2 linked regions of the Coturnix japonica genome follow. The protein of the gene in region 2 purifies or fractionates together with the protein of the main gene of each other region. This does not show direct contact. Links are inferred from orthologs where the notes say so. Each region holds a gene or a part of one and is shown on either strand. Other genes may lie near its edges. The genes, in order: NPTN and plasma membrane calcium-transporting ATPase 4.

Region 1 (3,805 bases), on a different chromosome or scaffold from region 2:
ACCACTCCAGCTGGTGCTTTTGTACAAGGCTGCTCATCAAGTTCAACTCTAGATAAAGCAAAGCCTTTAAATCTCAGACACAGCCACAATGAGTATGTGGTTATGTATTTAACAGCATCTATTTACAGAACTAGGGTATTTAACTGCAAAACCCAAACAAATAATGCAAGGTGGGTTGCAGGGGAAAGTAAAACAGAAGAACAAAAACACAGCTTCGTCAAAAGTAAGTACAGCTTCCATAACTTCGTGGTGAATTTTCACCTTGCCAAGGCAATGGAAACCTACAGCATTTCTTAATTCTGTGCCATTTGTGCAGTAAAGAGCCCACAGAACTGTAGCAAATACAGAGAAGCCAGGAAAGCACACAGCAGACAAGGCACAGTAGAGCAGATGCACTGTAATACAGTAGGCATTACCCTGCTCCTCTTGCTGGCGCTTGTAACAGCTAAAAAGGAGGCTCAAAACTGGTCTTGTTTCTCCAAAGAGAACCACAGGTGGTTAAGATGTTCCCTAAGTGCTTCCCAATTTAGCTTAGCACTGAACAGAAGGTTGTGCTTGAGATCCATTCTAGCTCCAAGAGAAGGAAATGAAAGCCTGGGAGGGAAAACAGCAAGGAAACCACATACACAGGACAGGTCTCTGATGGCATCACTGAGCACGTTCTCTATGCTCTCATCAACTCCATGTCTAGAAAGTCAGGAGTGCAGGAACCCTGGAAGGATTTCTGCTTGGTGCAAGCTACAGAGAAATGGAAGAGCTGGCCATATACATTCTGCTCTCCTCCACATCCGTAGATGGGAAGTAGATAAAAATCTGGAGCACACACACGTGGAACACATTAATGCTGAAAATACCGATACAGTGACAAGAAGCACGTGATAGAGCTCTGCTAGTTTAGTCAAGATTTGGTATCATTTCAAAGTACTGCCCTGACAACACTCAGAGAACAGTTCTTCACATTCCAAGGTCAGGAAATGACTAAACCAGCTGATTGCTGCAGTGATTTATCCCTGTACAACAGAAGTGCACAGCTGAAAATTCATCTTCAGGTAGATGTAAGCAGGACAGAGATAAGAGCACAATATACTGGAAGGGAAGGAAAGCAAGGCTTGCTGTTTGAGTCTCAGGATCCCAACAGCAGCTCCAAAGCTTAAACTCTACCAGTTTTGGCATTCTCCAACATAACACAAGATTTTTCCCAAGGAGACTTACTTGTATTCTGTAGTGTTTGAGGTTTTTCTAGTGCCAGGAATCTCTTCTCCATTCTTCACCCAGTAGCTGGCAGAGAGGGGGCTGGGGCTGGTGGTGAGGTTACACTGTAATGTGATGGCGGCCTGGCCATAAACTTGGATGGTTACGTCCTCGCTGGCATTGATCCTTGGCTCTGGAAAAAACAAGGCATTAAGTAGCAAGAAATCTTCACTGGTAGATGTGCCACGCTAATCTAAAATTCAAAGGAGGAAAGGGAAAGGAAAAGAGACTACACGAGGAACATCACTGCACTAATTTGGGAGACATCAAGAAAGTCACAATAAAACAGCTGACCACCAGAGCAAAGGCAACACCTTACGGATCAGCTCCCCTATATGGGAAAAGAAAAAAAATATTCATTTTAGTTGGTAACATTGCTACAGATTTCAGTGCAGCTCAATCATCTTTAAACACCGCTGAACAAGGAACAGGTAAATATACGTCCCAAAGGCATACACACAAGAAATCAGCTGTTCCTTTGGAAGCATCTTCAATCTGGCTATTAACTCCGCCTCTGCTCGCGCTGAGATTTAAAACAAGTCCATTTTCTACAGAGAACAGCCCCCCAAGGCACATCTTCTGAGTAACATTTCACTATAATAAAACTCTAATGGCTACCTAAGGAATCTATCCTGTCTGCACCTGCCCATCTTTCCACGCCAGACATGAGCATCGCTCTGCAATTACAAAGCCATGCGGAGCATGTGAGCTTAGTTACATTTCAACACAAGAGAGATGCAGAGCAGCTTCTCCTGTATGTGGAAAGAGACCAAACACCCACTGAATAGGACACGAGTCTGAAGAAAAACAGCTGAAAGCAGGCCTTAATGCTTAAGAATAAAATACAGGAATATACACGATGTTTAAACTGGAGTCAGGTTTTTAAAGCAACCTGAACCATAAACATTTATGATGAAAAAAGCGAGTCTCATTTCATGATGAGACCACACGTGGTGTTCCCTGCTGGCTGCAGCAGGTTGCAGGGCTCACAGTTACAAGCATTCACTTAAAAATAAAATAGAACAGAGTATGACAAAGCTTTAGGGAGACTGCGGGATTCTTTCCATTATTCTGATGGAAATACCTGAATGTGTTAACGAGGCAAGAGCCGCCTGCTCTGCAGCTGGGTCAGCACAGTGCAAGGTGAAGCTGGTCAATAATGAACATCTCAGTGATTTTTGCATGTCAGCAAAGGATTTTAATTGTTTTTAGGAGGGTTTTTTTCCCCCTTTGCCTTGCCATAAGATACTTGGAATACAAATGTAGTCATACCCAAGCAGCCTTCTGGATACTCATCTGACAAGTACTTGGAAAACAAGTTACTTAATGGAATGATGAGGGGGAAATAGCAGTCCTGTCAAAAAAACACTAATTTTCATTGCATAAAACATCCATTTATCCAATACAATGCTTTGATTATTGCCCAGAAAACAGGCATAAAAAATTATCTACCTCCTGAAAACCTGACAGAGCCACGCGGAAGCCTTGAATATCCTTTTTCTCCTTGTTTCAGTGTGTAGGCCACAAATCAGAGCTATTTAAATTACAGTTCCCATTTTACCCATGGAAAAACTGCTGCTACTGTAGCTGTGTTGTTTTCCCCCCCTGACACTTCTCACAGGTAACCCACAACTTTCTGAAGTACAATAGAGGACTGAAGTCAAATGCATCCACATCTTTGACCTGCGTTTATATTATCTTAGTTTGTAATAAATGAAAGCATTCAGGCAGTTCTAACTTCATTTAGCTCTGTAAGACAAACTGCACATGGAATATCACTGGGACAGTGACAACCAAAGATGTCAAACTGAAAGAACAAGATGCAAGAGTTTCTTTCACACATCTATCATTTGCACTGCTTGTTTTATGTACAATCCAGTTGTAAAATAACCCATAAGCAAAATTCATTATCCGAACCAGTCATGAGACTGAAGCCAGATCAAGCTCTTAGGTGCTAACTTTCAAAACTAAGTGGCACTTCTCTGCTCTTTCGATCCAGCTGATGTTCCGTTCTCTTTCCATGGTGCTGACGTCAAACAGAGCCCACAGCAAACCAGGCACCAACAGCTGGAAACTCCAGCCCCTCTTAGCCAAAATTCCTGTTTTGGAGGCAGGTTGTGCTCACACACAGAATACAGCTGGGAGACATTCGGGGCAGTGTCAGATACGATGCTCCCCATCCTCTTGGAAGTCAGCTTCTCCTCTTATCTGTATCCAGCAGGAGTTTGATGTCGAAGCGCTCTGCCTCCCAAACAACAGTAGGTCACATCTCTCAACATAAAATGTCACAGAGCAAAACCATTAAAATATTCAGCTCAATACTTCTTCCCCCACACACAAGCGTGAATTGGAATAACTATACCAGTCACAAGGCACTTAGCAATGAAGTCACGATACACAATCCAGAATTAGTAGCAGCAGATGCAAGGAGATGACATGAACTGGGGAGGAAAACGAGAGGTTAGCCTTCAGTCCCCAGAGGAGGTTAGTTTCAATGGCCTGAGAGAGGAAAAACCCACTTTCCATATGGAGACATCTTCACGGCAATTCACTC
Region 2 (4,379 bases):
TATGGAGAAGATGCTGGGGTCAGGACCCACAGCACACAGCTCCTGTGTATTCCCAGCTCTGGGTGCTGCGCTGACCTTTCTGCATTCAAGGAGACAGAAGCAGACTGGGAGGTGGCAGATCTGCATGGACAGGAGAGGGACAGCGCTGTGCCATGAGCAGGAGGGAGCAGGCAAGGATCCCTCCTCCCTGCCGGACAAACTCTTCCGGGTAGGGCTTCCGCCCACTGCTTTCCACATCCCAATCACTTCAGTAGGTGGGAATACACACGCTTGGGACATTAAAAATAATACAGGGACAGAGATTTTCACACAACCCGTGGATGCCAGAGCTCCGCTGGTTCCCAGCCCACTGCCGACTCATCCCTGCCACGGAAGGAAAAGTTTCTCCGTCAGCACAAACCACTGCCAAACCTCCACACCCCGCACGCCACTCCAGGGTCCCCGCGTCCTTCTGCATGTGCCACAGGGATGCTCGTGCCCCACAACCCACACCTCCTGCAAGCAAAGCTCAGCAGCTCCCCAGGGCAGGACGCCGCACAGTGTCTCACTGAGCTCATTGAGCGTCAGGGAGTCCCGTCCTGGTGAGTGACACAGGTGGGTAGCACACCAGCAGTGTGCCACGCACTCTACAAGTGCCAAGCATTTCCTTTTTTTTTTCCCCCTCCCCTTCCCTCCCCCTTTTCCAACTAACAAATATAGAAGTAGGGTCTATAAGACCATGGAAACTCTATTACTCTTCTGCATTAAAGCCAAAAGCAACTCATTAAAACATCAAAGTAGGATGTCTCATCAGCTCAGGAAGCTCCAGCAGGAGGTGGCAGGGATGCAGCTCCCACACAGCCCCACACTGGGCATGAGGAGCCAGGAGCCCCAGGCCGGGGCTGCAACCCCTCCTTACTGCAGGAGCTCTGCACACACTGACCCTGCAAGCAGGGATGCAGAGAGGTGCTCCATCCTACTTAAGCCCGAAGCTCAGAGCTTCTTATACCAGGAGTATCCCCATCACCACAGGACTGATGCCCACTGGCTCAGTGAGAGGAAAGAGGGATGGGCTCCCTCTCCTTGCTCACCCAGTCCCATTTATTTCCCTTTCCATGCACCAATTCTCCACCTGTACAACAGAAGAGACACCGCTGCCTCCACCACCTCAACCAGCCATCAGGCAGCAGCATCCCATGCTCATGTCACATCCCTGGGATCCAATCCCAGAAGCCTCCAAAAAGGCAGAGGAATTTGGGAGACAGCATCACCTCCATGCACTGCAGCAGCCACCCCTATGGATACGCATCCATCGCTCCAGCCATGCTGAGCAGCACAGCTTCCAGATGGCTCAGAGAGCAGCACTGATTTGCAGAACACAGCTGGGAGGGATCCAGGCTGGGGGGAGCAGCCAGCAGCAGCAGCGTCTGCAGCACAGGGCAGCAGATCCCTGCGGGCTGCTCACAGCACTGCAGCAACAGGCGGTGGAAATGTTGTGAGCAAACTGTGCTCACGGCACAGCAAGGGGAAATAAATTTTATGCATATGTATACTCGCGCGGATATACTTATATATGCACAGATTAATTAAGAGAGAGAACGAAAATGGGAGAACGCGGGGAACCAAGGGAAGCTGAGAGGGTGCACGCAGCTCCCGGGGCACCGCAGCAGCCAGGGAAGGCCTCGGGGAAGGGGGAATTCCTCACTCACGGCTCCACCCTGCTGCCTTCTGCCGCACAACAATGGCAGCGCGCAGCGGTCCCTCCCCGCAGCCGCTGAGCCCGGGGCCGGAGCGCCGCACGAGCGGATACGGCGATGCTCAGCGCGGAGCGCAGCGCTCCGGACAGCGGCGGGCGGCTCAGGGGAGGCTGCGCCCCGCGGGGAAGGATCGAGCTGGGCTGGGAGCGGGGAGAGCCGGGGGTGTTAGTTAGCCCCGCTCGTTCGCTGCTTAACGATTCAGGTGCGTTTCGGTGTTCACATTGAGCGCAGCGGCTGCAGCCGCGCAGTCAACGCGAGCGGTTACCGGGAGCGCTGCGCCCATTTGGGGGCGGGAGGGGGGGAATGCAGAGAGGTGCCCCGCCCCGCGGCGCAAACAGGTCCGCGAGCCGAGCAACCCCCCCGCCCTCAGGTCTCCGGAGATAAGAGGACAATAACCCATTGTCCATCCCCTCGCTTCCTCCCCGCCCGCATGCAGAACGACCGGGAACAGGGGGGCCGTGCAGCCCCCGCGGCCCGGACCGTGCCCGCAGCCCCTGCCCCACCCAGCGCTGCCGCAGGCGGGGAGCGGCTCCCAGCCCCGGGCCGAGGAGGAGCCGCCCCTGCGGAACCTCCCGGCGCTGCCCTCGGGCTGCCGCAAGGCGCTCCCCCTCCGACCCCGCTCAGCCTTTCCCTCCGGCCACGGCCGCATCCACGAGCTGCGCCCGCCCCCCCCACGCCGCTCTGCCACGCGGGAACGCCGCGCAACCCCCCCCCTCCCCCGGCTCCCCCAAGGGTTGTTCCCAAGGGCAGCAACAAGTGGTGGGCGGCTGTTACAGCCGGAGCGCTCCCCCCTCCCCACCGCCTCCCTCCCCCCCGCCCGAGTTCGCACAGCCCCGGGGTGTCACGGCCACCCCCCGAACCGCTCCGCGATCCGCTCGGACCCGGGAGATGCGCGTGGCCCCCACGCTCCCCAGATTCCGACGGCAGAACAACTCCCCGTCCCCCCGCTCCCTCCCACCTGCTGCGCCGGTCCCGTGTCCTTCCTCCCAACCGACGTTCCCCCACTGTCTCCAACAGCCGACCCCGCAGCAGCTGCAGCGTTATGGAAGGCGAAACCCGCGCGCTCCTTCCGCGGGACGCTCCCCCCCAACGGAACCTCGAAGGCAGCACCGCCGCCTACACCCGCCCCACCCAAAGGGGCACCCTGGGAATTAACCCCCCCCTCGCTCCCTCCGCCTCGGTCCCGCACTCACCGGCGCGGCGCCCCGTCCCGACTGTCGGCGGAGCCCCCGCGGGCGGCCATAAGGAGGGCGGCGGCGGCTGCAGAGCTAGCGGGAGAAAATGCTTGTCATGGCAACCCGGGCCGGGCCTGCCGGGGGAGGGGCTGCCTTAAGGTGGCGGCCCGCCCCGTCCGCTGCTTAAGGGGGACGGGAGGCGGCGGGCGGGGCTGCGTCCCCTGGGCGCTGCGGGGCGGGTGCGTGCTCGGGCGGTATCGGTGCACCCCGCGGACACTGCCCCTCTACCCCAGGAAGCACCGTCGAGTAGTACAGGTGAACCCCGGTGCCGGTACGTGTACCTCCATACGTCGTGGGCTTCCCCATAGGCAACCCCCACCACCAACCCCCGAGCAGTACAGATGTACACCCAGGAGGTGGGTGTCCGTGCAGTGTCACCCACGTGGAGCAGCTGCAAGCGGTGCACGAACCCGTGGGGACAGAGGACCCCCCTCCAAGCACGGTGGTCCGTGTGTGCCCCCCACCTCGAGCGGTACGTCCAGGGTGCGCGGCTGCAGGGCGGCATTGTGTGCACTCCTGGCACTGCGGATCCTCCCTTGGGCAGTGCAGTGCACGCACCACCAAGCGCTGTGCCTGCACCCCCAAAATCTGTGTACCCCCTTCTGCACATACTGCACCCCTGCTGTGGTGGTACAGATTTCCTCGAGCAGTGTAAGTTGCTCCCTCATGATGGATGCATCTGGGACACCCCCCAGCTCCCCTGGCAGTGTGGTCACTGCAAAACAGGATGCACAGAAAGTCCTTCCTGCTGCGAGCATGGGGCACAAAATCTCTGGAGCAGAGCTCGGGGTTCCTTGTGGTCACTGTCGTTGGTGACATGTGACGGGGGGGTGTGCCCCACCCTGCTACTCATAGGGCACAGCCACTGCTGTCCCTACAGCGTGGGGTGGTGGTGTCACCCAGGAGGGGTACAGCTGCTCCTTGAGGTGCAGAGCATGAATCTCAGCCCCTTGTCCAGGCAGAGCCAACCCTTCCCCCTTTTATTACAGAAGCAAAGAAAAAAGTATGCATTGAAACTCCACTGAAGCCCTGGAAATGCTGTGGCTGCAAGGAAAACGTAACACGGCATTGATGCAGCTATGCTGGTGTAATATTGGGTGTAGGCAACCTTAACTCAGCACTAATCCTGTTGTTTGGGCATGCAACCCAGTTCAAGTCAAACCAGTGTAACATCTGTGCGTGCACAAGCCCTCATTTAACACTTGTAACATTTACCCCTGCCCTTGAGGGCTGCGCCTCAATAACTTTGCATTCCTGAACAGTCCTGGGGGGGGTTCCTCTTTGGGCCTTTGGCAAGGGGATTCCTCCCTGTGTGTCCACATCTCTTTGCCGAGCTCTCAGGGCAGCGCTCTGCGCTTGTGCAGCTGCATGCAGCAATAGGCAACCTGCAGCCCTGCAGGAACCCCAG

Evidence for each region.
Region 1: the proteins of plasma membrane calcium-transporting ATPase 4 (region 2) and NPTN purify together in Homo sapiens (co-immunoprecipitation; 3 studies listed by BioGRID and IntAct, with this or other methods). This does not show direct contact. The link is inferred for Coturnix japonica from reciprocal best matches to the Homo sapiens genes ATP2B4 and NPTN.

What each region holds. Positions count from the first base shown.
Region 1 is NC_029525.1:1,550,732-1,554,536, forward strand, and holds part of NPTN (neuroplastin), read right to left. Parts: intron 1,385-3,805; coding exon 1,213-1,384; intron 1-1,212. UniProt on the Homo sapiens protein: Probable homophilic and heterophilic cell adhesion molecule involved in long term potentiation at hippocampal excitatory synapses through activation of p38MAPK. May also regulate neurite outgrowth by activating the FGFR1 signaling pathway.
Region 2 is NC_029541.1:4,878,473-4,882,851, reverse strand, and holds the start of plasma membrane calcium-transporting ATPase 4, read right to left. Parts: upstream 3,065-4,379; 5' UTR 2,930-3,064; intron 2,823-2,929; exon of another isoform or gene 2,695-2,822; intron 1-2,694. UniProt on the Homo sapiens protein: Calcium/calmodulin-regulated and magnesium-dependent enzyme that catalyzes the hydrolysis of ATP coupled with the transport of calcium out of the cell. By regulating sperm cell calcium homeostasis, may play a role in sperm motility.